4 linked regions of the Elephas maximus indicus genome follow. The protein of the gene in region 1 interacts with the protein of each later gene in a biochemical or structural test. Links are inferred from orthologs where the notes say so. Each region holds a gene or a part of one and is shown in the gene's direction. Other genes may lie near its edges.

Region 1 (7,103 bases):
TCAAAAATGTTGGTGTAAATTAGATAATTCCTTGAAACTTTATTATTGAGTTAACCAAAATTTATTTACCAAATCACAGTCCTTTCTGTTCTAAAGAAGAGCGAATTTACTACCATAACGCTGCAGGTGTGCACTGGTAGTGGCAAAACTATCCCTAGGAGTGTGGAAAAATTTCAGTATTGCTGAGGGAACATGTGTGGGTAATGTGTTGCTTTGAACTGGAAATAGTAATAACTCTAGGAGATGAAAAGAGGCAATTCTGCATATTTAGAAAGGAGAAAAACAGTCCATAACAATCATTCCTATACCTTTACCCTCAATCACCATAAATTGGCCCCTTCATTCTATAGATCCTCTCAAGTTTGTAATTTTTGTTTTTGGATATGAAAAGGCATCTGACTCCCTGTTGATCATCAGGGTTATAACTCTTCTGAGTTTTTCTGTCCACAATGCTCTGTGCATCTCTACATTTGAAGAGGACCATCTTTTCTGAGATAACTTTTTAAGGTAATGCTATCAGCCACGCATCCCTCTGCTTGGGATCTGATTTCACCTATAAAAACAAAGGAGAGGCCTATACAGTGTGATAGATTGATTGCAGGTTAGATCCCCACAGGGTTAGTCTTAACTATTCACTAGGAACATGCTCAATCCTAATACAGATCTTATTGCCATCCATAACATTTTATAGAACTTAAAGGTGGAGCCCTGGTCCCTGGTGGTGCAGTGGTTTAGTGTCTGACTGCTAACCAAAAGGGTGGCAGTGCAAATCCACCAGCCATTCCTTGGGAACCCTGTGGGGCAGTTCTGCTGTGTCCTATAGGGTCGCTGAGTCTGAATCAACTGCACTAGAGCGGGTTTGGTTTTTTTGTCTTACAAATTAGGTTTAAGATAAGCCTGAACAGTGAATGATGTCAAGAATATAAGCTCAGGTCTACTTCATGCTAAAGTCCATTAAATTTTTGCTTTTTAAATGTTTCATTCATTTGAGGGAGTCTTGCCTATAATCAGTGCCTTGTACAGGGTCGCTATGAGTTGGAATCGACTCAATGGCACTGGGTTTTGTACAGGGCCAAAATACTGTGGGCACTGTAGATTAATACCTGAGCCCTAAAGGATATTCATTTTCTTACTGGCCTTTGATATGCTGCTGTTTATCATTTTTGAAAAGATAAAAGACCAGAGGGTATAATCCTACTGGGATTTGTATCAGTGGCTCTAGGGGACTGAAATGTTTAAATGGCAAAGCTACTTATCTTACTTGGACAATGCTAAAGTATATACCTCTTGGTTTCATTAAAATCTTAATTATCAACTATTTGGTGCAGTGAGTTGAAGTTTTACTTTAAAATTAATCTGTAATGTCTGAGAAATGCCTTTGTTTTGACTCATGCAATGCAGCTAGCCCAAGCTGTTTTTAAAATGTCAAGTTAAAAGGCATTATTAACCTTAGTGCCAGGGCTGCTTGAAGATAATAGCTACAGAGGAATCCTACAATGAAGGTTTTTTTGAGATGTCATTCCCATTAGGAATTAGTTCCTGGTATAAAATAAGGAGCACTATAAAGGTTTGCTGTATAGGTTTTGAGAAACTAGCACTCCTCATTCATGAGTTGGAATCGACTAGATGGCACTGGGTTTGGTTTTTTTAGCACTCCTCAAAACAGACCAAGCAATGTAGTTTTTGCTAATGGCAGTTGCTGTGACTGACGGTAAGGGCCTACTGTTGATGAACATTCTGGTTAAAAAGTGCTTCAAATTTAAAGAGTCGACCATTTATTTAACATGGTACCTTGCTAGACCAGGGTTATGATTCATTCATAGCAGCAGTCTTATTAAAAGACTATGTGATAGTTGGGGAAAAAAAATCTGGGTCGCAGGGTTTGTTTCCTGGCTTATTTAGGTATTGCTGTAGTAACTGTTAACAGTGCCTCAGCCTTTCGGGTTTCTACAGTAGGGATTCTCAACCTTTCTCCTGTCTCTACACCATTAAAGAACAGCATAAAAAGCATGTCTTATTACCTCACCCAAATTTTGATCTTTAAAAGGCATAGTTTTATTTTTTTTTAAATGTTTACCATCTGGACCTTTTTACTCTTGAAAAAAATTGGATTTGTTTATAGTGCTCAAAATGCACTAGTATACTGCAGTCTATTTTTTCTTCTCAAATTATTTCTGAAAATAATGCGTTCATTAGATTTCTGTGTATGATGACACCGCAGTCACTTTAAGAGAAACTCAGTACACTTTTTTTGTTAGATACTCCATACTAAGTATCCAAGATAAATCAACTGCTTTTGGGATTTCAAATATACTTTAAAATTACAGGGTCTGTACGAAAATGCAAGACACTAATAGAAGAAAAAAATTGGTAGCTGATTCATGATATATAGCTCTTGTATCCAAGAACCTGAGACTGAAATGATTAAGCTAGTGCCTTTGACTATAATAAAACAGTAGCTCCCTTAGATTTCTGAGGATTGATCTACTTCCAAAAAGGATTTAAAGCAGCTATTAGACTCGTAGTAGAAAGATGCTTTCAAATGTTGCAGAATACACATCTTCAAGTATTTGGTTTAACAATACAAAACGAAATTTTGCTCAGCATAGATGTTCTCTCTTGTAACATGGTGGCAAGGCTTTTCTTTACAAAACAGTCTCTAATCACTTTCTTACCTACCACACATTCTTCTCTCATCCTTAGTGAGACAAAAACAGCTAAAATGAGTAAGGAGACTTTTCACACTAAGCAAAACTGCTTAATATAGAAAACAAAATTATAGTTTTATGTTTAAGTGAAAAAGGCACTAAAAAAATTGTGTATTTGAGTTTTTCTCGAAAAAATAACATCTTACAAGAAATGAAAGCCACAGAAGCCTTTATCCTTTATTGATTCAATTATTAAATACTATTAACACCTTATACGTTAGCAATAAGGTGCTGAGGTTATTATTAATGGACAATGAATGCTGTAGATACCTTAATGCTGTTAGAAGATACGATGCCCCGTCTTTGAAGCATTTATATTCCCAAACATTGCTAAACCTAGAGGCACTGTTGAGGTGGTCCCACTGAAATACATGGCTAATAGTTCATCCCTTTCCTCCACGCGTGGACGTTAACCTCACGTAGGAAAAATCTTTCAAGCACCCGTAACTGAATAATCCAAATCTTTGAGACTCAGAATGATTTGACGTAGCTAAAAAGAAAAGCTTCTTGCTACAATTTTGGTCAGACCTTCTAGCTTATTTATGATATTCAAACTCTTTACACTGGACTATTTGATTACTAAACTAGGCGGATAGATGTCCTCCAAAATGTCCGCAGAAACCTTAAGAGAAGCTATCACAAGGCCAGCTGGAGATACCTCATAAATGGCCTTCACTGTCCTTTGAGCCAAATATTTAACACCCGAGGAGAACGCTGGTTCTAGTTAGAATCCGCGCGTCATGTTCTCCAACCGTCAGAAGCGCGTGTGTAGTGATTGCGAGGATTTAAAACCCCATTTCGCTGCCCCAGTCCTGGAGATGTAAGAAACCACCCACTATAAAAAACCAGGCGGGGGAGGAGTGCGGCAGCTAGCTGCCAAGAGAGCGCTCTGCGGGGAAGCAGTTTCCCTGAGTCACGGACAGGGTGGGAGATCGGGCTCATCAGCCCACGCCTCGTCTTCGTAAGGCACCCAGTTTAAATAGGCAAGGGTCACAGGGGAAGGAGCAGCACCCGCCGCTCCTTAAGGTGGCCCAACCGCCACCTCATTCCCAGGAGACTCCGCATTTCCCGAGAACCCGCTCTTCATTCCGGCAGCGATCAGCCGACCCTTCCCTACCAGCGTCACGTGCGCCCGGAAGTATGTGGGTGGGACTTGAACCGCCCACGGAAATGACGTAGTTGCCCCTTGTCGCATGATGTGGCAAAATGCAAAAAAAAGGGGGGGTAGGGAATAGAAGGAGGCTGGGGGAAAGTGATGAGTCCAAAAAGTAGTCCCTTCGGTGCTTATATTAACACCCGTGTAGCATCAGTACGCGAGGCTCTCGGCGCACTGCGCCCCTAATTCCTCCGCCCGGCAGTATCGCGGCACTCTGTGGAGGGGTACATAAAGCGGAGGGGGTGAGGCGACTTGGGCGGAGTTCTGTCGCCGGGATCCCTCCGCAGGGCTCAGCCGTTTCCGGAGTCTGCGCTGCGCCCGGTTCCGCCATTGCGGCTCTCCTGGCCCCTGGAGCCTCCGCCCCCGACCCGAGCTCTTTCGTCTGCCTGCCAGTTTCCTGCGTCCCCGGAGAGTATCCTACTGAGCCCAGCCTCCCCCTCCCCCTTCTCCTCCTCTCCCTTGGAGAGCCCGGGCAGCCGCTGCCCCGCAGTCCCAGTGACAGGAGGAGACCGTACCCCCCGACAGCGCCATGGCCCAGATTCTGCCAATTCGTTTTCAGGAGCATCTCCAGGTGCGGCTGGGCTCGGGCTGGTGAGGGCTGCGGAGAGGGTAGGAAGGAAGGAAGAAGCTGGAGTATAGGCCTAAGCAGAAAGAGCGGTATCGGGGGGTGGGAGTGGTGGGTGTCGGTGCCTGGGATAGATGGAGGGGGGCCTGTCTTGGAAAGCTTAACGGGTTAAAGAAATCTTGTGAGGCTTGGTTGGAAAGGACAAGAGTCAGGGTGCAAAGGGCGTCATTGCTAGGCCTGGATCTCAGGATCTCTCTACCTTGCTTCCTGGATGGGAAGAACTGCATGTACTAACTCCCCCCTCCTTGTTTTTTTCCGTTCATTCATTTGGGTAGGTGGATGGGGAGAGATTTTCTCCTGTTTCTCCTGGAGCATGGATTCTCATTACCCCTTGGGCCATTCGGGGGCTGTCATTTCTCATTGCCTTTCTCCCTCTCCACCTTCGTGTCTGCACTAAGGAGTTGTGGGGCGGGTGGGTTGGGGAGGAGCAACCTTTTTTCTTCCTCCCTCTGCGGCTCTCAACTGGGAAAGGCACCTTCCCCCGGGGTGGGGGGCGGGGGGGAGGCGGCCTTGTATCTTGCCTTCCCTAAGGCAGTAGAAACAAGGTCACAGAAGGAGTTTAGAATGGGGGAACGTATTTCTCAGGGCGGTGTCAATCTCAGGGTGCTTGGGGTCAAGGTCCCTGGGGGAATTAGCCTTTTTCCGTTTCTTGATTTCTCTAGGAGTGGTGTGTCTCTTAGCCCCTCTTTGGTTCTAGGAGGTAGGGAAGGAGCTCTTCAGAGGTTATTTTGGGGTCTGCTGGAGTCTAGCAGATTGTTGTGCGCTTGGCGTGAGTAGCTCCTTCAGGATTTTTTGGAATTAAAACAGCTATGGGGATAGAGCACACCTGCTTTGAGACGTTTGTCCAGGGTTGTTTGGTCTGTAATTGGCTTCCCTTTAGTAGGTTCTAGAATTTTTTCCCTACCGTGTCTTATCCTGGAGGCAACGTAACTGTTGTCTTATCTGGCAGCATGTCCTGGCTGGGCTAGGCAGGTGATCATTGGAGGGCTTGACTGAATTAAGCCTTTTGAGCTTCTGATTTTCCAAGTTCACCAATCCTGCTTCTATCTAGTTTTCATTTTGGCTGAAATAATTCATTCATATTAACTTGTTTTCTTGTCACATACCCTCTTAAAGAGGTCTGCCTAAACTCAGTCTTCTGAAGAGCAAGTTTCATACATAATGTTAGAGGACCCAGTGGTATACACATAACACTAATATTAGTAACCTATTGGATATTTTTCCATTCAAGGCAATTTTATTTACTTTCTTCCATTTCATTAACAAGAATCCCCGGAGGATTCTTGTTAATAAAAAGGTTTAATATTCAAGATGTGAGTAACATAATTTCATAGTTCTTTACAGCTGTTATCATTTTAACTTGCATCAAGAAATTCTTTTTCTTTAAGACTTGAATTGTAATGAATAATAAACCTTTACCTGTAAAACTAGTTAAATAGTGTACTTCCTTCAGTCATCGGTAGTTTGCAGAATAATTCATCTGAAGTAATGGAATATACCTCGGCAATAAAACCACTATATTACAAAGGATTTAAAAACGTTAAGTAACAGAATGGACATGGAGAAATTATTTTTTTATGTTCAATCCAGTTGCTGTGTTTACCTCTGTTAAAGGGGGCTGGTAATTGAATATGGAGGGTTAGAAAAATACTGGTTTTAGGTGTGCGGAAACCGCAGGCTCTTCCTCACAGTAAAGTGCATTTGAAATAAGCCTTTTTGTAGATGAATGTTTGTAAGTCATACACAAGAGAAGCAGGTACAGCTGCTGCTTAGTTTACATGGCTGAGGCATATCAGTTACCGCTGAGTTGAATTCAACTCATGGCAATCCATGATATAACCCACTAGTAAATCTTTTTGGTTGACCGATGGTGGTTTGAGTAATAGCTTATTTTTATTAAAGAGGAGACAAGAATTGTTAAATGATTGCACAAAACAGAATCCAGCCTTATCACCAACTGAAGACATTTAATACAGGCCTGATTTCTAAGTGGTCTGAAGTTTCTCCAGTTACTTGAGTGAAGCCATTTCCTTCTCAAATAATTTGAAAGTTTTGAGTATAAAGTAGCTTTGTGAATATACTTTAAAAAAAAAAGATATCCATTTTTTGGAGTGATAAACTTAGCTATTGTATGCTCGAGCTGATAATGATTAAATTGCAGAGAGAGTCAAATTATCAACCTCTTCCAGGATAATTATCTCCTGACTTCTCATCTTTATCCTCTCCTTTTTTTTTTTTAGTTAATAAGAATTATTTTAATTGGCAACTTAAGTCTTTGACCTCTGACCCTCTGCCAGCTTGCTAAATAGCAGAAAACTTTCTGAAACGCTTTGGATAAAAACTGGGAACAAGAAATGAGGAACTTAAGTTTGGAGCTTTAGCTCGTTATAGCTTCAAAACCTGAACTGTAAATGAATTTATTTTTGTAGGCCTTAACTACATTGACCAGTTGAAGGATCTGTCATTGAGGGTTGGATCTGCGTCAAATGAATATTAATATTTTAAGTTATGCGGTTTTTTTTTTTTTAAGGATGTTTAGGCTGATAAAAAGCCTGTTGCTGTTGAGTCAATTCCAGCTCATAGCGACCCTAGAGGACAGAGTAGAACTGCCCCA
Region 2 (7,824 bases), about 4.7 Mb from region 1:
GAGCCCTAAGGCTCAGGTGGAGCTTCCTGATTCATAACCATACACGGGAGAGGATGATGCGTTCCTTTTTGGGACACGGAAGTTCTGTGCCCTGACCCCTCCCAGACCTCACCCTATGTGTCTCTTCATTTGTATCTATTTTTTATTGTAATAAAGCTGTATCTGTAAGTGTGGTGTATTCTTCTGGGAATTCTGTGAGTCATTCCAGCAAATTAGCAAACCCACAGGGCAGCAAGAGCCAGCGGGGGCGGATGTCTGCCTGTTTGGCAGTGGGAAAGAAGGCATCCTCTAACATGTGAGCTCTGACCTAGGTCGGGGTGGCTGGGGCTGAAAGAGTGTGTGTGCCTTGTGAGCGGCTAGCAACAAGGATGGAGAAGTGGGAAGGTGTAGACAGGATCCATTTCCACACTTTGGGAATTGGATTCATGCTGATCCTTACTACACAGTCAGCAATGAAGGCAAAAGTTGACCACTGTGCCCCTTGCTTAGTGCAGGGACAGAGAGTGGGTGGTGTTTGGAACTGGATCCATCAAAAAAGAAAAGAATAAAGAGGTCAGAGATAATCCTATGGGGGGAGGTGGCATATATAAATATTAAAATAAGGAAAAGGAGTATGGTAGAGTAAGAAGAGTATTTGTTCCAGGGTTAAGATATTTGTATTCCTTTCTTTAAGGAGATGGATAGGAGCCCTGGTGGCACAACAGTTAAGCTCTTGGCTGCTAACCCAAAGGTTGATTATTTGAACACACCCAGTGGCTCTGCAAGAGAAGGACCTGGTGAAATGCTTCCATAAAGATTATAGTCTAGAAAACACTATGGGGCAGCAGCTATCAGTTTGGCAGTGGGACTGCACCCAACAGTAAGGAGATGGATGGTCTTGAGCCAGCCACTTGCCTTCTCTGGGTGTCACTTTTTTCATCTATAAAATGATGCGGTTAGAAATTATGTGATTTCTAAGCTAATGTCCAGCTCTGACAATCTAAAATTTTAGTGGTAAGAACAAAATCAAATAAAATGAAAGTGACTCTTAGCTGCAGAAAGCCTGATGATAGGTCAACTTCTAGACACGTGAACTTGCAATATTTTGTACAGTCCCCTAGAATCTTGCTTTTTTCAAAGTGAACCAGTTAAGGGTACCATCTACCATCTACGGCTTTACCCACAAGAGGTGACATAGCACAGAAGTTGAAGGTCCAGGTTTTGGAATCAGACAGTCCTTCACTAACAATATGACTTATGAAAAATTACTTCAGTTTTTCCAATCTAAAATAGAGTAATAATGGTATTGACTTCATGAAGTTATTATGGGGATTAAGTCAATCTATCTCCTTCAGGGTCTTCCTCTTTTTCACTGATCTTCTACTTTACCAAGCATGATGTCCTTCTCCAGGGAATGGTCTCTCCTAATAACATGTCCAAAGTACAGGAGATGAAGTCTGGCCATCTTTGCTTAGAGGGGTGCTCCTTAGAGGAGCACTCTGGCTGTACTTCTTGAAGACAGACTTGTTTGCTCTTCTGGCAGTCCATGGTATGTATATTCCATATTCTCCGCCAACACCATAATTTCAAGGCATAAATTCTTCTTCAGTCTTCCTTATTCACTATTCAGCTTTCACATGCATATGAAGCAATTGAAAATACCATGGCTTGGGTCAGACATACCTTAGTCCTTAAAGTGACATCTTTGTTTTTTTTTTAACACTTTAAAGAGGTCTTTTGCAGCAGATTTGCCCATTGCAACACGATGTTTGATTTCCTGACTGCTGCTTCCATGGGTGTTGATTGTGGATCTAAGTAAAATGAAATCCTTTATAACTTCAGTATTTTCTCCATTTATCACAATGTTGCTAATTGGTCCAGCTATGAGGATTTCTTTTTTGTTGTTGTTGTTGAGGTGTAATTCATGCTGAAGGATGTAATCTTTGATCTACATCAGTAAGTGCTTCAAGTCCCCTCTGCTTTCAGCAAGCAAGGTTGTGTCATCTGCATATCGAAGATTGTTAATGAGTGTTCCACTGATCCTGATGCCACTTTCTTCTTCATATGGTCCATCTTCTCAGATTTGTTCAGCATACAGATTGAACAAGCATGGCAAAAAGATACAATTCTGATGCACACCTTTCCTGATTTTAAACCATGCAGTATCTCTTTGTTCTGTTCAAACGACTGCCTCTTGGTCTATGTACAGGTTCAGCATGGGACAATGCAGTGTTCTGGAGTTCCTATTCTTCACGATGTTATCCATAATTTATTATGATCCACACAGTTGAATGCCTTTGCATAGTCAATAAAACACAGGTAAACATTTTTCTGGTATTCTCCGCTTTCTGTCAAGATCCATCTGACATCAGCAATGATATCCCTTGTTCCATGTCCTCTTCTGAATCCAGCTTGAATTTCTGACAGTTCTTTGTCGGTATACTGCTGCAACAGCTTTTGAATGATCTTCAGCAAAAATTTACTTGTGTGTGACATTAATGACATTGTTCAATAATTTCCGCATTCTGTTGGATCACCTTTCTCTGGAATGGGCATAAATATGGATCTCTTCCAGTCGGATGGCCAGGTAGCTGACTTCCAAATTTCCTGCCATAGACTAGTGGGCATCTCCAGTACTGCATCGGTTTGTTGAAACATCTCCATTGGTATTTCATCAATTCCTGGAGCCTTATTTTTCGCCAATGCCTTCAGAACAGCTTGGACTTCTTTCTTAAATATCCTTCGTTCTTGACCATATACTACCTCCTGAAATGGCTGAATGTAGACCAATTCTTTTTGTACAGTGACTCTGTATTCCTTCCATCTGCTTTTGATGCTTCTTACACATCATTCAATACTTTGCCAATTAAAAAAAGAAAATTGCCTTCAAGTCGATTCCCACTCATAGTGACCCTACAGGACAGAGCAGAACTGCCCCATAGGGTTTCCAAGGAGTGGCTGATGGATTCAAACTGCGTATCTTTAGGTTAGCAGCTGAGCTCTTAACCACTGAGCCACCAGGGCTCCATTTGCCCATCCCACCCAAACCCAGTACCGTCAAGTCGATTCATCATTTGCCCATAGAATCCTTTAAAATTGTAACTCGAGGCTTGAATTTTTTCTTCAGTTCTTTCATCTTGAGAAATGCTGAGTGTGTTCTTCCCTTTTGATTTTCTAACTCCAGGTCTTGGCACATTTCATTACAACACTCTGTTTCTTGAGACACCCTTTGAAGTCTTCCGTTCAGCTCTTTTACTTCATCATTTCTTCCATTCACTGTAGCTACTCTACATTCAAAAGCAAGTTTCAGAGTCTGTTTGGTTCTTCCCTTGTTCCCATTCCCTGATGGAAGGCCACTGGATATCAACACCAACCTAAGCTAAAATTGATTTTCTCTTTAAGGTTGCTTGACTATAGGATGCAGAGAAGGCAAAATGTTTTACTAGAGGCTATAACATGGAATAGAGATTAGGTTGGTGATGTCACAAAAGAGGTTTTGAACAGTGTCAGCAGAGACTGCAATGATGACTAAGGAAGTTGATAAACAGTATCATCTTAAACCGCAACTCACCCCAGGTAAGCAGATGGAGAATATTAATTACGAACAGGGCTAATCCCATTATGAGAAATACCATCACAATGAAAATGTTTCATTCTAGATTACAGAATCCCTGGTAGTGGCTCACTTAGGTCAAGAAAAATTAAAAATAGAATTATGGGGGGATAAAAAAAGGGGTAATGGGAGGGAGCCACCTTCCTTGGTTGGAGTGCACTGCAGTGAGCTTTGACCTCTATATTAAAATAAATAAGACCAGGAACATCAGTCACACTAGATCGCCGTTCTTCTCCTTCACCACCATTTCCAGGTCCAAAAATGTACTAGCGGGGCGGGGCCTGAGATGACTGCAGGAAGCGAGAACCTACAGCATAGATGAGCCCATCTTCAGGCTAATCGGCATCTGCCGGGAGACAGACACCCCACTTCCTAGCAGGCTCAGGCCTCCCTGGAGATTCCAAACCGATGTCAACTGGGTGCAAAGGAAAAGGAAATAAATTCAGGTTCTGAAAGGGCAGCTGCAGGAAAGGGTTGGGTCTCTCAAACTCAATTACTTTCTAAAGCAGCCCTAAAGCCAAACATACTCCCTATTTGAGCCAAAGAAAAGCCCCTCTCCTCTTCTCATAACCAGGCTGGAAAACACAGCTCCCAGGAGGTGGTGTTAAAAACCAATAGTTTGCTTGGCAGCGCCCTATGGTCCCTGGAGGAAACAGGAGAGAAAAAAAGGGCCTTGACACCTGGGAGGCTCCCAAGGCCAATCCCTTCTCCTTCAGCTTAATAAAAGGTAGGGAACACACCTCCCCTCCCGGATCTTTGGGGCGGCGGGGTAAATACTTGGAGTTATTAAATTCACTCGGTGGTCAAGTATTTATTTGGTGGGTGCCAGGCACTGACCTAGGCGGTTGACATCCGCCCCTTAATTCTCATAATCCTGAGATTTGTGTGAGCCCGTATTTCCCTCTGTACAGAGGAGGGTAAACGAGGCACAGAGTGAAACAACAGTTACCCAGGAAGCGGCGGGATCACAGCCCGGGTGGCTAATTCCCAAGCTGTGGCTCTGGGGCCGCCGGCCCGTGGGTCGGGAGCGGGCACTCCCGTCAGTCACGCGAGCTCCACGCGGGGCGCTGCCTCCCCGCAGTCCCGCCGGGTGCGCGGCAGGTGCGCAGAGTGCCTCTGCGGCCCCGCCCCGGGTCCCTGCCCGCGCCGGCGCCCCGCACCCCGCAGCTGCCGGGCAGGACGCGCCGCCTCCGCCCGAGCCGGGGCCCGAGCGCCGCGAGCGTTCGGGCGAAGAGGAGGAGCCAGGGCCACCGAGCGGGTGGAGTCGGGAGCCGCAGGGCGGTGGAGGCGGATTTCCTGGGCCCGGCTCTCTGGCGCTACCATGGCGTTTGGGAAGAGTCACCGGGATCCCTACGGGACCCCGTTGGGCCACCTCATAGGTAAGGAGGCTTTGGGGGTCGGGGAACCCTTTCCGCTTTACTCCACTGTCGGCTTGCGAAAGACCGAGTTAGTCCAGGTTTGAGGGAATTCTCCCCTTCCCCCCGCCCCGCAACTTTCCCAGGGCACCCACATTCCACCCGGCGCCCTACTAGACAATTCTGTCTTGTCGACCCTTCCCAGAACCTGCTCTTCAAAATTTACCTCCTTGTGATGCCTCTTTGGAGAGAAACAAAACAGGTGAAGCGCAGGATTCGGGAGTGGAGTTTGGGTCTCTACAAGGAGTGACCAGAAACTTCTCTGCCAGGGAAAGGTTGTTCATAAAGTGCGTTTCTCGCGGGCCCGATATTCTGTCCGTTTGACCGATGTGGAAAAGGAGGCTCAGGGAGGTTAGGTGATGAGACATGTCTGTGAAAGCCAGGTCACTCCAAACCGTTTATCTGGCCCCAAGTTCATGCAACCTGAGTTGGTGTTCTCAGAAAACAAAAAGCATAAAAATGCTCAGCTGTGGAGTGAAGGGAGCGCAGAGGAGAGGTCTGGGGCCACAGGATGGCTACAGAGGCCACTAGGGGACCACCAGGCATCTGCCTCACTCATTTCTCCCGTGGCTGGAGTTCGCATAAAGCATGCGGAAGGAGAAGCCTGTGACTGTACTGTTTTACCTGACCAGCTCGGTTCTCTCGCTTCTCTCTGGTTCCTCCCTTAGGAACCGGGTGTGGTAGGACTATCATGGTGTCGGGAACTTAGTCGGGTGATGAAATCCTGAGAACTTGGTAGTTACAATAAGGAGGCACAGATTTGAAGAGTTTTAGTCCCAGCTCAATTAACCGCACTGTGGCACCGAGCATGCTACCTAACCTGAATCTTAGTTTCCACATCTTTATAAGAGGGCAAAAGTAACTAATCATACAGGGTTTTTTTGAGGAGGTAAAGCTTTCTAAACTGTTAATGGCTATCCCCATGTTGGATGTTGGATATTAAAAAGAGCCCTGAGTAGAAACATATTCAGACGGTGTCTTCATAGGCAAAAGTAACTTCAGCAATAAAAAAAAAAAAAAAAAAAACCCTATTTACCCTCCATTTGATTCCAACTCATGGCGACCCCTTGTTTGCAGAGTAGACTGCACTCCATAACCATTCGCCTATCTTCCCAGACGACTGGGAGTTGGAACCCTGTAAACCACTTAAACATTTGTGGTACACAAGGACACAAATCTCGGCCATAATTCTGATAAATTCTTTAATGTCGTAAACATTTGACTCCCAGCTATGTGCCTGGACCTGGACTAGGCACTGGTGAGGCCAAGGTAAGACATGGTCTCAAATCTCAGAGAACGCACAAACTTGTAGGGAAAACGTACACAATATTGTAGTAACTACAATACAGTATCTTTGCAATACAAGAAAACACAAAATGCATAAAACTTAAGAAGAGGGAGATATTAACTCTGCCATGGCTTTCAAAGGGTGATTAGGAGTTTTCTAGGATGTTGGGAGGAAGAACAAGGAATAGGAGGGGAACATCTGGCAGAAGAAACAGGAGCTTGTGCCTAACATCTTGAAGTTGGTCAGCTTTGTCCATTCAGTGCCAAATTCAGATAGCTCTTTTCCTAGATGGGAAGCAGGCTGAGCTTTGGGGTTCCTCCAACCAGGCACTTATTCTTTCTTCCCCTTCATTATTCTTTTTAATTCTTTTCTTTGCTTAACCGCCACCCCCCAGCATCTTGTGTTTTCGCGATGAGGTGTCTCTCTTCTTTTATAAGAAAGATGTTAAACTGATGCGTGTTGAGTGTTCTATCACCCTTCACAGAGAGCATTTTATATGCTTAAAGGAGATGTCTGGAGAAGTACAGGACAGCTTTGGTTAGTATAAGTGCCGAGAGTGACCGTGCTCTACTGCAAACCAAAAACCAAAAAAACCCATTGCCGTGGAGTCTATTCCGACTCATAGCGACCCTATAGGACAGAGTAGAACTGCCCCATGGGGTTTCCAAGGAGCGCCTGGTGGATTTAAACTGCTTACCTTTTGGTTGGCAGCTGGAGCTCTTAACCACTATGCCACCAGGGTTACAGGCCAATTCAGTAGTTCTGATATTTCTCTCTCTCATGCTCCGTCCCCCCGCCTCTATAATGATAAAAAAACAAAAACCTGGGATAAGACATAGGTTTAAATCCTTTTTCTACCTCATACTGGCTGCATTACCTACCTTGTATTGTGTAATTTCCTTAACCTCTCTGAACTCTGTTTCATCATGTCTAAAAGTGGGTTAAATGAGATGCATAAGATAAAATACTTACCATTGTGCAGTTCACTTTGTAGGTAAATATTCAATAAGCCATAGTTTCTCTCTCTGCCAGAACTTGCAGATGGAGATCCAGCCAGCCTGGCCCTGCAGTCTTTGTTGGTCCCACAGTATTTATTAATCGGTCACTCATTACTGTTGCAACATCAGCATTCTGAACTTGAGTTCTGATTGATGCCTGAATTTACTGGGAATTGTTCAGACAGAAAAAAAAAAAAAAAAGTCCCTTGCCCTCTGTTACTATCAGTTTAATGGTTCTTGCTAGTTAACCCCATGCAGGTTATTTCAGGAAGACCAGGCATGTTTTATTCTGTTGTAGCCCAGTCTCAACAGCTTTTTCTTTGCAGAAAAGGCTACGTTTGCTGGAGTTCAAACTGAAGACTGGGGCCAGTTCATGCACATCTGTGATATAATAAACACTGTCCAGGATGGGTGAGTACAGTGTGTTGTTCATTTACTTGCCTCTGCTAAGAAGCGTGAGAACCACAGTGCGTTTTCTCTTGCAGACTCTTTAATTTTCCTGAGCATTTTCATCATCCCCAAGGGGCATCC
Region 3 (6,991 bases), about 20 Mb from region 1:
GAGGAAGGGGCTGCAGGGAGATGCGTGCACAGTCACGGCTCCCCTGCCCCTTGCTGCGTGCGTTAAGGGAGAGAGTCACACCTGGCAAACGTGAACAGGGTGATGCCACCTTGAGTCAGGTAGGGGGAGGGAGGGAGAGGCTGGGGGAGCAGGACAGGACGGGACGAGACGCACAAACCACTGGGCAGGTTAAGGGATGGAGTCGCACCTAGAGGATGCATGCACAGAAGTGCTGCCTTATGCAGATTGGGGGAAGAAAGAGGGAGAAATGGGTGAGCTCTCTCACAGTCCCGCTGCCCTCCACTGGGCCCTTGGTGGGGCGAGTAGGTGGCAGGCAGGCACACCTGCGGGGGTGCACCTAGTCTTGCTCATTGGGTAGGCAATGGGGTATAGTGGGTGGGGTTAGATAGGATGGGGGAAAGAGAGTAGGCTTGTATTGTGCTTCTCCAGTCGGGCAAGGTAGTTGGTGTTTGGGACCCTCTGCCACCTCTGATCAGGAGGATGAGTTGAGGGGGAGTGCGTTCCTCCAGCTAGGATACACGGGTGCCAGGGCACCATGTGTCTGCTGCGGCCAGCGAGTGGGACCTGTCGCCTCTCAAGTTTGAGGAAGAGGGCCGCCCAGGGACCAGTTGGGTGGGAGAGCTCCCGTGGACACTCCATGGGTCCACTGCCTTGTGTGCACCACTCACCCCTGAAGTCAAGAGCTGCCACACCTGAGTATCCCAGTTCCGGATCTGGCACTCTACCTCTCTCTGCTTCTTTCTGTGTGTGTCTATAGAGGTTCTCTGTCCCTCTTGGGAAAGTTGTGAAGTTGCCTTGCTGTTTCTTCACCCAGGGTCACTGCTGGTCTTGTCCTAAGTTAGCCAGGGTGAGTCAGGATGGCTGGCTGAGCTCCTCCGTGCCGTGTTACTCCTCTTTTGCTGCTTTTCTTATTCCTTCTAATTGGTGTTCAGTTCAGTTCTTAGACCTTTTTTGATGTTCAGGGTTCCTGGATTGTTATCTGCTCCTGTTTCACTTGTTTGTTTTAGGTCTTTGGTGCAGGGGGATGTTATGGTGAGTGACTGCACCTCCATTTTGGCTCCACCTCCTGACTTTCTTTAATACCTTTCTAAAGTTGTCTTTATTGTTGTTGTTGTTAGTTGCCATCCAGTCAGCTCCAACGTATGGCAACACCATGTACAACAGAAGGAAACACTGCCTAGCCCTGTGCCATCTTTACGATTATTGGTATGTTTGAGTCCATTGTTGTGGCCACTGTATTTCAGAAGCAGGTTGCCAGGCCTTTCTTCTGAGGCACCTCTAGGTGGATTCAAACTGCCAACATTTCGGTTAATAGCTGAACACTTAACCTTTTATGCTACCCAGGGACTCATATGGCCACTGTATTTTGAGTGCCTTCCAACCTAGAGGGCTCATCTTTTAGCACTATATTGGACAATAGTCTATTGTGATACATAGGGTTTTCTGGGCTCATTTTCAGAAATAGATTGCCAGGCCTTTCTTCCTAGTCTTAGTGTAGAAGCTCCACCGAAACCTATCCACCATGGGTGATCCTGCTGGTATTTGAAATACCAGTGGCATAGCTTCCAGCATCATAGCAATACTCAAACCATCACAATACAACGAACTGACAGATGAGTGGTGGGGCTTTATATTAGTTTAATATTTAATACAGTAGTTTTTATGTCATGCAGACCACATTACCCTTCTGTCCCAATAACACTTCAGATATATAGCATTAAGTTCCAGTCATGACCCTTTGATCAGGGTCAAATTTGGATAAAAGTGATTCATGATTCCAGAGACTATGGCCCCCAGACACCCTGCTAACTCAGAAATGAAGCCACTCCTGAAGTTTACCCTTCAGCGAAAGATTAGACAGGCCTATAAAACAAACAACAGCACACGTGAGGAACGTGCCTCTTAGTTCAATCAAGTATATGAGACCAAATGGGCAACAAGTACCCGAAAACAAAGGTGAGAAGGCAGGAAGGGACAGGAAACCTGACAAATGGACACGGAAAACCCAGGGTGGAAAGGGAAAGAGGGAGAGTGCTGACACATCGCAGGGATTGTGAACAACATCACAAAACAATTTGTGTATAAATTTTTGAATGAAAAACTAATTTGCACTGTGAAATTTCACCTAAAACACAATAAATTTTTTTAAGTGATTCATGAGTCTGAAAGATATGCATGATCTAAAGCTTGAAAGGGGTGAAGAGCAAGCTTAGAACTGAGGGGTGATGGAACTGAGTGGGAGCACTCGATGGACACAGCCTGTTTTGAACCTCAAAGACGTTATCAGAAGCTGCACTGTTGTGTGTGTTACCGTTTCTTACATGGAAAAGAGGAGGGAGAGGTGTAAAGTTAGTTCATTGGGCGGGAGGTGGTATAGGAAAGGAGCCCTGGTGTCACAAATGGTTAAGCGCTCGCCACTAACCGAAACGTTGGCAGTTCGAGCCCACCCAGCGGCTTGGTGAGAGAATGACCTGGCAATCTGCTTCCGTAAAGATTACAGCCAAGAAAACCCTATGGGGCAGTTCTGCTCTGTCACATGAGATTGCTGTGTGCCAAAATCGACTTGACGGCATTTAAAAACAATAGTATGTGAAAAAGGAGAAATACCTTACCTCCATAACCCAGAAATGTCCATAAATCCATCATCCTCCTCCAAGTTCAGGCACTTTTACCCCAGCATGACTCTTCAGTCGGGCTCCTCTTTCTCCTCCCAGCTAGCTCTTTAGTTCAAGTGTTCATCATCTCCCCTTTACTAGCTTATCTATAGATAACTCCTCTCCCTCCTCATATTCTTGCCCCACTCCCTCCACCCTCCACTTTGCCCACTATTATCTCCCTAAAAAAATAAATCTCATCATCCCTGTTTTCAAAACTGCTACTGGTTCCATGTGTCCTGAGGAACCTCCTTCCTTCACCTGCTATACAAAATTCTTCCTAACCTGTTCAGTCTTCCTCTCCAGCTTCATTTCTCCTGCCGCTAAACCCACTTAACCCCACACTTTACAATAGGATATGCTTTTTGCCCTTTGCCTTCCTCACTTTCTATCTCTTTGGAATATCCTTTCCCAGTTTCTGCCCATCCTCAAGATTGTCTCCCAACGCCCCTCCTCTGGACAGCCTGCAGTCCCTTCACCCCGTCCTGGCCAGAGGCTGTTACTTTGCATAGAATTCCCGGGATCATAATACCTGTTGATGTGTCTCTTCGACAACACTAGGAAGGCAGGGCCATGTTAATTCATGCCTGGGTCCCCACCGCCTAGTGACAGGGACTGGCACAAAGTAGGATGATGGATGGGTGGGTGGGTGAATGGAAGCTGGGATAGGGAGGTGGAAAGAGAGGGGTAACCCGAGAAATGAGGAAAAGGAAGCCCGCAAAGAGCAAAGACAGACACCAGGGGGAGCTGAGACACCACCATCAAGCCGGAGGGCGGGGCAAAAAAGGCTGCACGTTCTGGGAAGAGCGGGTAAGCAGCGCGCAGTAAGGTAAGTAACGCGCAATTGTAAGCGCGCACCCACGTGTGCACCCCCCCATGCCCCTTTCCACAGCGTGCTTCCGCGCTTTCCACCGCCCGCACCACCCACCTCGCCTCCACCGCCGCTAAGAAAGCAAACAAAGGGGAGGGGACCCCTGCAGGGTCGGGATGCCGGAAGCCAATCAGAGGGCTCTCATTTCCTGGAAGGTGGGAACCTTGGTTTAGGGAAACCCAATGAGTTTCTAAGGGAATGTGGAGGGGCGGGGAGATGGGCGGGAAGGGCGGGGTGGGCGGGGCAGGGACCGTGCCCGCCGGGGAGAGCTCCGGGGAGAGGATGAGGCGGGGGCAGACCCAATCACCGCGCATGTCTGTGAGGAGAGGGCGGGCAGCGCCGCGGAGCGCGCGATCCAGGCTGACGCATCTGGTCCGGGTTCCCGGGGGGGGGCCAAAGGAGAGGGTGGAGGAGGAGAAAGAGCGGAGGGCGCGCCTGCGCAGTGGCGCGGGGAGGAGCAGGGACCTGGCAGCGAGCGAGGAGGTTGGGAGTGAGCCGCGAACCGGGCGGGCTGCGGGCGGCGGGCGTGCGCACCATGGGGGAGAAACCCGGGACCAGGTAAGGGAGGTGGAGCCACGCGGCGGGGCATGGGCGGCGGCTCGGGGCGGGTGCCGAGATAGTCCTCAGACTAGGACACCGGGGAGAGAATCCGTGGGGCCGGGCGCCTGGGTCCCTAGGGGACAGCCATCCGGGGCCGCACGCCTAGGTCCTCCAGGATAATGGGGGCGCATGCCCGGGCCCCTGTAGGAAGTCAGGACTGAAGGGGACCAGGGAAGTGGTGTCCGGGTTCTCGCAGGCATATGGGGGCCGGACGCCTGGGTTCTCTCGTGCAGGCTGCGATGCAGGAGCGGAGGAAGGAGGAGCAGGTGGCCAACCCTGAGGGGTAGTATTTGGGAAGGCTGGACGTTGGGAGGGGTGCGCCCCAGACTCGTGCAGAGCCAATAGAAAGGCTCGTGTCCAATACCCCACAGGCAGTTGTGCTGCCCCCACCTGTCCCAAGGGCCGGGTGGCTCTGCTTCCAAACTTCTGCCTTCCCTGGGTTGCTAGGAGCAACAGCTTCATCATGGGGGAGCGGAGTGCTTGGCGACCCTCCCTGATTCTGGGCCCTATCCCTTGGCCCTCGGGTGGGGGTGGGCAGTGTCTGCCCTGGGCACGCCATCCACTCCCCGGATGTTTTCTGTGCAATCGAGGCTCTTTCTCTTTACTGACACCCCGAGTTCTCTTTTTTGATCTCTAGCAAAATCCACTTCCTGTTGTGACCCAACACCCCCAAGTAGGCAGGTGTGAATCCCAGAGTCCCTGGGGACCAGGAGCAAAAGAGGAAGGGTTGGAGCTGAATATGCCTCAGCCCAGACGGGAGCAGGAATGCAGGCCAGGTGCTACCTAACCTGTCAGCTTGTTCTGTAAAATGTTTTTCAGCCCCAGCACTCCCCACCCATTGAGTATGAGAACTCAGGTTTCTGAGTATCAAGTCCACAAGAATTGGAGAGATATGATCAGGGGGAGGGAGGACTGATGTCCTGGGTAAGGACATCCACAACCCATAGAAAGGGGAAGTTGCTGACTTGAGGCCCCCAGTTTCCGTTATGTGGTTCAAGGACGGATGGACTACAGGGGGACTGCTGACTTGGCACAATTACCCCCACCCCCAGCAAATTCTGGGCCACAGGAAGTAGAGAGAATGGCAGGAAGTGCAAGAGGCATCTGCTTCTACTGCACCCCCACCTTACTGGACACCTCCCTGGTCACCCCGCACCCACCTCCTTGGCCAGCCTCAGTATACACACACTGCTCCTCCCTAGCCTGGCAGGAGGTGGCTGGGTTAGGATCCAAAGGGCAGGTGCCCCGCAGCTACTCACAGGCGATTGCTCCAGAGCCATACTCCAGTTGGCCACTTGGTTGTGGCTGTCACAGCCCTCTGCCAGGGCTCCTCATGGGAGGAAACACTTGAACAAAAAGAACAACCAGAAGCAAGTGAGGTCAAAGTGGGGGGAGAGCCTGGATGATGCCATAGCAATCAGCCCCCAAGTTGGGACTAGAGGTAGAATGCTCGTCTTAGCTGCCACCACATCTATGCTTTGTTCTCCTGGATTGGTTGGAGGTATCTGGGGCCTCCCTGCCCTTACAGCTTGGACAACTCGGCGTTTTGGGGAAGAAGGGGCAAGTGAACTTGTTATAGCAGAAACAGACAGTGGGGTTGGAGGAAGGATGGGCCTTCTGGCAGGATTTCAGCTTCCACTATCTCAGGGCCCTTTCCAGGGATAGCTGCTGAGGCCCGGTAGATTGGAAGGAGTAAAGTGGTCAGGCAAAAAACAGGCCTACAAGTGCCAAAACCAAACTTCCCTACCCTCCCAGCAAGGGCTAGAGTCCAGGCTTGTGTTGTTTCAGCAGCTGGGGGGCAAATCCCATTCAATTCAACAAACGATTAATGCCAATTACAGAGGCAGGACGGCATAGTGGTTTACTGATTAAGAGCATGGACTTGGGGCCAGACTGCTTCAGTTTGTATTTAAGTTTCACCATTTACTCTCTGTGACTTAGGTAAAACAGTTGACTGTTCTGTACCTCAGTTTCCTCACCTGTAAAATAGCGATATTAGGATTTTCATCATTGGGTTGTTGAGAGTATTAGATGAGATAAACGCATGAAACACTTCGAGCAGCACTGGGCATGGCGCCTTCACCCAATGAGTGTTAGCGAGCATCATTATCTTCATCATCTGGCTGGCATTGTGCTGGGGATGCCTAAAAGAATAAGGCCCCTAGTGCTCACAGTTTATCCAACAAGAGACAGGTGAGACACGCTTTGTGTGCTATCTCACTGCAAGTAAAGCATGAACAGTGTGACAAGAACCAAAAAAACAGAGTGACCCAGGGTCTTGACTGGGTTGCTTCCCAAAAGAGGTGACATCTGAGCTGGGTCATGAAAGATAAATGGGCTTTTAAGCTGCTGAGATCAGAGATGGGGAAAGTTGGAGGTTAATGGAGTAGGGTCAGACTTGGGTAGTTCTTATGGTGGAAGCCATTTTACGGGCAAAGCCCAGGTCCATTGCTCTTCCAAGTTGGGGCTGTCGTTGGTGCTGGGACATCTGCCCCTTTCCCCATGAGCAGGGGGAGACTAGAAAAGATGGAAAGAGGGTTAGGTGTTACTCAAACACTGCTGCAACCTGCCCATTCAGGTCCTCTGGGAAAACCTGGGTGGTTCCTGTGGCAACCAGTAACCATTAACTGTGGGGTAAGGGGGGCTACTGAGGATGGACCAAGGATAAGAGAAGGGGGATTTGCCATGGCAACCTGCTTCATGTGGTTGCGATGCTGGAAATATTAAGGAGTTGATTACCTTTTCTTCTGGGAATAATGGGAGGCGGTGGGGCTGGGCAAAGCCCCTGGGCAGGAATCCTAGGTGAGCTCTGCTTCCTGGGCTGGGAAGGGACAAAGTCCTGGTG
Region 4 (7,317 bases), on another chromosome or scaffold:
CACTGGTGAGGTTGATTGTGAACTGCTGTGAGCCTGGGTGGGGGCCAGGTGGTTATTTTTGTACCAGGCTCAATCTGCAGCTGTACCCTGGACCCACTGGTTTGAAAGTTAACTTACTGAGGTCTTAAATATGCAAAAGAGTTTCTCTTTCTTATCTCTACTGACTATATTCCATTCTTTGAACTTCAGCTAGAAGTTGTTTCAGCAGGAAACACAAACTTCTTATTTGAAAGCCCCAATTCTCTACCTATCTCTGTTTATCTTTACCCGCCCCTCCCTACCCTCCTCTCTAACTCCATTATGTCTACCTAAGCACTACTATGCTGACAAAGCTCTGAGATAGGCTTTGTCCTGATTTCTACTGTTTTACTTTTCTGCCTGGCAATTCTTTCAACTTGCTTCTCTTGGGCCTTAACCCCAAAGTCTTATTGAAACCTCTTTCAGAACTGCCTCTAGTAATTAAGTGGATGTAACACAAAAAAGATAGCTTGACCTGGAGGACCATGGGTTCTGTGTTCTTGATTTGGGATTTTTGTTATCTAGCTCCATGACGATACATGTTGCTGTTGAAGTCAATTTCAACTCACAGCAACTCCATGTGCGTCAGATTGTAACTGTGCTCCACAGGGTTTCAGTGGCTGATTTTTTAGAAGCACATCTCTAGGCCTTTCTTCAGAGGTACCTCTGGGTGAACTTGAACCAGCAACCTTTGAGTTAGGAGCTGAGCACAATTAACACTTTGAACCACCCAGGGACTCCTACCTCCATGACTTAAAAAAAAAAAGCCATCGAGTTGATTCCAACTCATGGCGACCCCATGTGTGTCAGTGTAGAACTGTGCTCCATAGCCTTTTGTTCCAAGGCACCTTTAAACCAAAAAAACCAAACCCATTGCCATGGAGTCAATTCTGACTCCTAGTGACACAATAGGACAGAGTAAAACTGTCCCAAAGGGTTTCCAAGGAGCAGCTGGTGGATTTGAACTGCTGACCATTTTGGTTAGTTGGAAACCCTGGTGGTGCAGTGGTTCAGTGCTAGAGCTACTAACCAAAAGGCTGGCAGTTCAAATCCACCAGGTGCTCCTTGGAAACTCTATAGGGCAGCTCTACTGTGTCCTACAGGGTCACTATGAGGTGGAGTCGATAGCAACGGGTTTGGTTTTGGTTTTAGCCGTAGCTCTTAACCACTGCACCACCAGGGCCCCAAATCAACAACCTCTTGATTAGAAGCCAAGCACTTAACTGTTTGCATACTCAGGGACTCAGCTCCAATACTAGACACAATCAATTTCACTTCTCCTTTGTGAATCAGATCCTTTATCTATTCACTCCACCAAGAACGCTTTTCTTGGAGATCTTTTTATGGCTAGTTTCCTTTTATCATTCAAGCTTCAGTTTAAATATTATGTCCTCAAAGAAGTTACAAGTATTCTGTAATGTTAACCTCCTCTAACATCATTCTTTATTGCATTAGCTTATTCTATTTTTAATTTCTTACTCTCTGCAATTATCACACATGTCCCTGGTTATTATCTATTTTCTCCAACAACATTTAAGCTCTAAGAAAGCCAGGGCCTTCTCTGTCTTATACTGAGTTCCCCACTCCTGGCAGGTTGGTGTGCCATAAATATTTATAGAATGAAAAGAACTATAAAATTTAGGCAGTTGGACCAAACAGGCTTTAAAGTCACTTGCACCATTAACATAAACATTGACAAAGATGGATAAGTGAGAAATGAAGTGATGACACCATTGCAACAAAACATTTAAAGGATTATGTGTGCATAATTACACTTTAAGAACATAAACCTGCCAAGTTCTTGGGTGTGTCATATATACAGTGTTGTCTTTCTATAGCCATTTCCCATGGAGAATGAGCTGAGTTTCTGAGCTTTATAGTAAAGTATCTAACAAGGACATCCAGTGGCTACCTAAGTATAAACCCACTGTATCACGGAATTAGAGTAGAAGAGATTTTAGAAAACCTCTTCAATTTGCAGTTGGAAAGGAAACTGAGGGCCAGAGAGCTAAGTATATTTGGATATTAGTAACCAAATACAGCAATGCATCTATTAAAGGACACATATGCCAATCATACTTCTTTATAGTCATTACTCATAACATAGTAATACTTTACATTTGAAAAGCATGATCCTACACCAGTGGTTCTGAAACTTGAATGTGCATGCGAATCACCAGGAGGACTTGTTTAGCAGAGACTGCTGTGCTCCACCCCCAGAGTTTCTGATTCAGTAGGTCTGGGGCAGGGCCCCAAGAATTTGCATTTCTAACGAGGTCTCAGGGGCTGCTGATGTTGCTGACACTGGGCCCACATTTTGAGAACTGCTATCTTACACTAACTAACCCATTATCTCATTTGATCCTCGCTACACCTGTATCTGTAAGGTGGCATAGTGGTTAAGTCCTAAGGCTGCTAACCAAATGGTCAGCGGTTTGAATCCACCAGGCTCTCCTTGGAACCTCTATGGGGCAGTTCTACTCTATTCTATAGGCTCTCTATGAGTCAGAATCGGCTCAACGGCAATGGGTTTTTTTATACCCATTATCTGTAAGGTGGAAGGGCAAAGACTGTTATCCTTGCTTCACAAATGAGGACATTTAGTCACCAAGAGACATTAAGTATTTTTCCCAAAGTCAAGTGGCTCGTAAGGGGCAGAACTAGGACTGGGATCCAGATTTCCTCTCATCTCCTCAATCTGAGCTTTCCTCCAAGTGAGGGGTGTGACTCATCCTACCCACTCACCTACTTGGGGAGTCATTTGCCTTTCCTTGGAAGCAAGGAACCTCTCAGCTTACTAGAGTTTTCCTCTGCCAAAAGGCCCAAGGGAAGTTGTATCTGAGAGATTTTTCTGCTTGTCCTTTCTCTGAGCTGCTCCTCTGTCTTCTGTGTCCAGGTGGATTTGTTAAGAGGGATTATGATACGGCATCCCAGTGTTTTGTGGGTCATTTTGTCTAAACTGGCTCCTGTTCCACAGAGGACTGCTCTGTACATCTTACACAAGGGATTGCCAGAACCCTGGCTCAGGTGAGATGATCACTAATTTTCAAGGGATATCTTCAAACACCGGTAGTCCTTAGTGTTGGTGTGTTCTGTTGTAATATGAAAAGCCATCTTTCTGTAGGGAAAGTTGCCATGGCTGCCTTCTTGTAACACATGGTAGATGTGAAAAATTCAACTCTGACACCAGCTTATAGCATGTTGGTTGACATGCAGAGGAATCAGAAGCCGAGGCTCTGGCTCAGCCACCTGGGTTTGATCCCCAGCTTTATCTTTTAACAAACTGTATGCCTTTGTGCAAACTTTCAAAGCTTTCCTTTCCTTTTCTTTTTGAAGAGTGAGATTAAACAAACTAATCTGGAAAAAGCAGAGGTCTGTGTATGGCACAAAATAAATTGTGCAGATTAAATGAGATCATCTGTGTAAAGAGCTTAGCGAAGTGCCTGGCACATGGTATAATAAGTCTTCTATGTTATTTCCGCTATCGTTGCAGGTGTTCCAGAATTGTAAGAAGGAGTTATTCCTTGCTTTATTTTCTCTTATGGCATTTAACACTTTCTAACATATACCTTGGAAACCCTGGTGGCTAGCGGTTAAGTGCTACGACTGCTAATCAAAGAGTCAGCAGTTCAAATCCGCCAAGCGCTCCTTGGAAACTCTATGGGGGCAGTTCTACTCTGTCCTATAGGGTCGCTATGAGTCGGAATCGACTCGACGGCACTGGGTTTGGTTTGTTGGTTTGGTAATATATACTTGGAGCCCTGGCGGCAAAGTGGTTAAGAGCTCACTGCTAACCTAAAGGTTAGCAGTTCGAATTCACCAGCCGCTCCTTGAAAACCCTATGAGGCAGTTCTACTCTGTACTGTATGGTTCCTATGAGTATGAATTAACTCGATGGCAACTTTTTTTTTATTAATATATACTCGTTCTTTTTTTTTTTAGCTATCTCCCCGTCTAGAATCTAAGCTCCACGAAGGTAAGGATTTTCTGCTTTGTCCTCTGCTGCATCCCTCGTACCTGCAATAGAGCGGACTCTGAAAAGACGTCCAATAAATACCTGTTGAACGCATACAAAGAAGATAAGTCGTCGGCCAACTCTGCTTTTTCCTTCATTCCAAGGATTTCTGATTGCCTGAGTGGGGAGAAAGGGAGTAGAAGAGAAATCGTCTCAACCTTAGTACCCCAGATCTTCTTTCAACTGCAACGGGCCCGTTCTGTGGGCACAGAAAACTACAAGTTCCGACGTGCTCCGCGCTCAGCGGACGGAAAGTCGGGCGCTTCCGCTCCACGCAGCGCCTCTGCCGCCGAGTCCCGACGTGTCACTGGCGGCGCCGAGGCTGTGGCAAGGGAAGGAGCCGACTGGGGGAGTTTGAGGCGGCGGGCGGCGGCGGCGACCCCGACCTGGACCTGCCCCAGCACGGAAGTGCTCCGGGGTCTCTGGGGAGCAGGAGAGGCAGGCGGCGGCCGAGCTTGCGCGGGGCAAGATGTTGAACATGTGGAAGGTGCGGGAGCTGGTGGACAAAGCGTGAGTATCGGGGGACAGTTGTGGCCGTGGCCCACGCGCGGGCGGGGAGGCAGGGAGAGGGACGCTGGCCCTGCGTGTGGGGCCTCTCGCGTTACGCCCCCCGGTTCGGGCAGCCCCATCATGGCGGCGGCCAGCTCTCTCCCCGGCCCCGGGCCTCGTCCTGATCGGCGAGGCTGGGAAGGGACCCTGGCTCGTTTCAAAATATCCACTTAGCCTGTTTTTCTCCTATCCAGGGCTCCTTGCTCTTGCCACCACCTACCAGTTCCCCTGCCCCCACCCCCAGCGCGGGCAGGGTTGTCTAGAGCTGGGTCACTGCCCCGGCCCGGGGACTTGTTTTGGCCCCAGTCTGTGGGCTTTGCCTCCTGGACAACCTGGGAGGCTTGGGGGTTGGGGAAGCTTTGCTCTGGACCTCTAGCCCTCAGGATGTGGTGGGGAGACTTCAGGCCTGGTTGGAGTATGTCCTTTATCTTGCTGGGTTTCTTTTCATTCCTAATGAACCTGGAATTGCTGGAGTGGGTGGTAGGTGTAACAAGTGGCCTTTGAGGTCCGCCTGAAGTTACTCAGAGGAGAATCATCCTTTGCTATTTTAACAGTAGTGAAAGTGGGTCACCAGATAACTTCTTGTGATTCTTTTCCTCTGTTTCCTTTTCTATTATACTTCACTTTTGGTGGGCCACTTATTCCATTTGGTTTAAAATAAGGAATCATTAAGGAATTTCTCTTAAAGAAGAAAACAACCCAGATTTATATCCTGTTGGTCTTTTTTTTAACTTCTCTGACAGGTATAATGACTAATGCACAGTTTATTTCCTTAAAAGATGTAAATGATAACTTTAGTGTCTTAGTGCAGTGTTACATCTACTCAATTCAAGTGTTAGGGTTAATAACGCTTGAATTGAGAAGATCAGGTATAACAGTGGCAGCAGGAAATAAATTTTAAAGAATTTAGCTACTCCCCTTCCTTATGGGTTTTAGTGACTGATTATGTGATAAGAGTAGAGAGAAAACAGTTCATTTGTGCCACTCACCCAGCCTAAATTCCGGAAGGATAGGTGGCAAACTTGAGCTTTTCATGATAACAGAAAACAAAATGATTCACGGTGGCTTGAATAATGCATCAGACAAAACCTAAAATTTTACCTTATTTCCAAATTTTCTATGCTACCAAGGAGGCCATATAGTGCCTACAGCTTTCGAAACCTACAAAACTGGGTTCATGCTGGGTTCAACCTTGGACAAATTCCTTCGCTTCACAGTGTCCCAGTTTCCTCAGGTACAGGATGAATATGAGAAATACCTACCTTAAAATGTTGTTGTGAGGATTAAGGAGTAAGGGCATAGATTGCATATGTTTAGGTCGTTACATTTTTGATAACCAAAACAGATGTTCTGTCATTAAGAGTTAGGTAAACTTCCTTAAGAGAGAGATTCTGTTTGAAAAGTGATTTGCTTTAATCATTTTTCTTTCTCAACTACTCGTTTGACCGTTAAGGCCTCAGATACTTATTTTGGACTTATTTTGCTTTTTATTTACTCTTTGCTTTTACTTACCAAAGATACGATAAAATAATGGCTTTTTCTAGATCTTGGTTCGTTGGTTGTTTTTTAATATATTCTGTGAAGACTAGGATATCAACTTAAGTAGTTTTTAGAAGTCCAAAAGGAATCTCTACAAACTACCGCTTCCGTTCTAAGGCAGGGGACAGCAGAAGAAAACCAGTAAGAAACACCTTGTTATCTTAAAGGCCTAATTTTATAATATCCAGAAATTTAAAGGGGCTGTACATTTTTTAGGAGACAGAATTCAAGGCAGTATTCCTGCTGTTGTTCTTTCATACTCATTTGCCTTTATTACCTTATGCTATTAATTTTCAAGGGTTTTAGGTTAAATTTGCCATATAAATAGTTACCAGGTCATTTAATGAAAGAGCCAATGTTGAAAAATAGCTTCTATCTTCTTTTTTACTGCTCAATTTAGAATGGAGACTTGAACCACCTTATTCAAGAACATATAAGAATGTTGCCACCAAAGCTTTTGTGGGTGTCTGACATATGATATTAAGATTAGAACATGAGGTTATATTACTGGTGAATACTCAGGATTTAATTTTCATCTTTCACTGGCAGGAAGAGAAGAAATTTTTCCAAAAAAATGTAAGCATCCTACAGAACCATGTACCTGTGGCGTTGTGTCCAGTTAGACTGTGCACCTTAAAATGCCATGATGGAGGGGAAGCAGATCCATAGAATGGTTGCTCTGATTGTCAAGGGTATAAGAAGAGGAGGGAACTTGCAGATGAGGGAACACCGAATTGACTGAGGACTCCTCTGGGGGCTTGGGTTAATAGACTGAGGTTTATGGGATAGAAAAGGCACTGGTTAGGGAACTTGGAGACCTGGGTTCAAATTCTGACACTGCCTCAGACGCAGCTATGTGTGATTTGAGGCAGAATCACATGAGTCTCCATACCTTAGGTTCCTCATCTGTAAAGTAAAGGGATTGGGCTGGAATAAGACTTTTTTCAACTTTGTGGTTATTTGGAGAAGTGAGTGTCCATCAAGAAGAAATAAATTGGAACTAGTATTTCACAGTAGCAGATAAATTTTGGAAAATTGTTATCCTCCAGAGATAATTTAGGCTGAAAAGAGAAATTAAAAAAAAATTGATGTGATAATCAAATGTTATGTTTAAATGCTTTTTGCAATAGGTAAGTGCAACCCATGACTCCGGAAAACTAGGACTTTTAACGTATATCCTACCCAGTGATTTTTAC

Evidence for each region.
Region 2: the proteins of CLTC (region 1) and TOM1L1 form a complex in vitro, tested with the Homo sapiens proteins (2 studies listed by BioGRID and IntAct). The link is inferred for Elephas maximus indicus from reciprocal best matches to the Homo sapiens genes CLTC and TOM1L1.
Region 3: the proteins of CLTC (region 1) and ARRB2 form a complex in vitro, tested with the Homo sapiens proteins (3 studies listed by BioGRID and IntAct, with this or other methods). The link is inferred for Elephas maximus indicus from reciprocal best matches to the Homo sapiens genes CLTC and ARRB2.
Region 4: the proteins of CLTC (region 1) and CLINT1 form a complex in vitro, tested with the Homo sapiens proteins (2 studies listed by BioGRID). The link is inferred for Elephas maximus indicus from reciprocal best matches to the Homo sapiens genes CLTC and CLINT1.

Annotation. Positions count from the first base shown.
Region 1 is NC_064837.1:34,475,614-34,482,716, reverse strand, and holds the start of CLTC (clathrin heavy chain 1), read left to right. Parts: upstream 1-4,088; 5' UTR 4,089-4,393; coding exon 4,394-4,435; intron 4,436-7,103. UniProt on the Homo sapiens protein: Clathrin is the major protein of the polyhedral coat of coated pits and vesicles. Two different adapter protein complexes link the clathrin lattice either to the plasma membrane or to the trans-Golgi network.
Region 2 is NC_064837.1:39,179,163-39,186,986, reverse strand, and holds the start of TOM1L1 (TOM1-like protein 1), read left to right. Parts: upstream 1-4,810; 5' UTR 4,811-4,913; coding exon 4,914-4,971; intron 4,972-7,619; coding exon 7,620-7,704; intron 7,705-7,824. UniProt on the Homo sapiens protein: Probable adapter protein involved in signaling pathways. Interacts with the SH2 and SH3 domains of various signaling proteins when it is phosphorylated. May promote FYN activation, possibly by disrupting intramolecular SH3-dependent interactions.
Region 3 is NC_064837.1:14,365,943-14,372,933, forward strand, and holds the start of ARRB2 (beta-arrestin-2), read left to right. Parts: upstream 1-3,986; 5' UTR 3,987-4,081; coding exon 4,082-4,104; intron 4,105-6,991. UniProt on the Homo sapiens protein: Functions in regulating agonist-mediated G-protein coupled receptor (GPCR) signaling by mediating both receptor desensitization and resensitization processes.
Region 4 is NC_064820.1:174,388,495-174,395,811, reverse strand, and holds the start of CLINT1 (clathrin interactor 1), read left to right. Parts: upstream 1-4,306; 5' UTR 4,307-4,502; coding exon 4,503-4,543; intron 4,544-7,317. UniProt on the Homo sapiens protein: Binds to membranes enriched in phosphatidylinositol 4,5-bisphosphate (PtdIns(4,5)P2). May have a role in transport via clathrin-coated vesicles from the trans-Golgi network to endosomes. Stimulates clathrin assembly.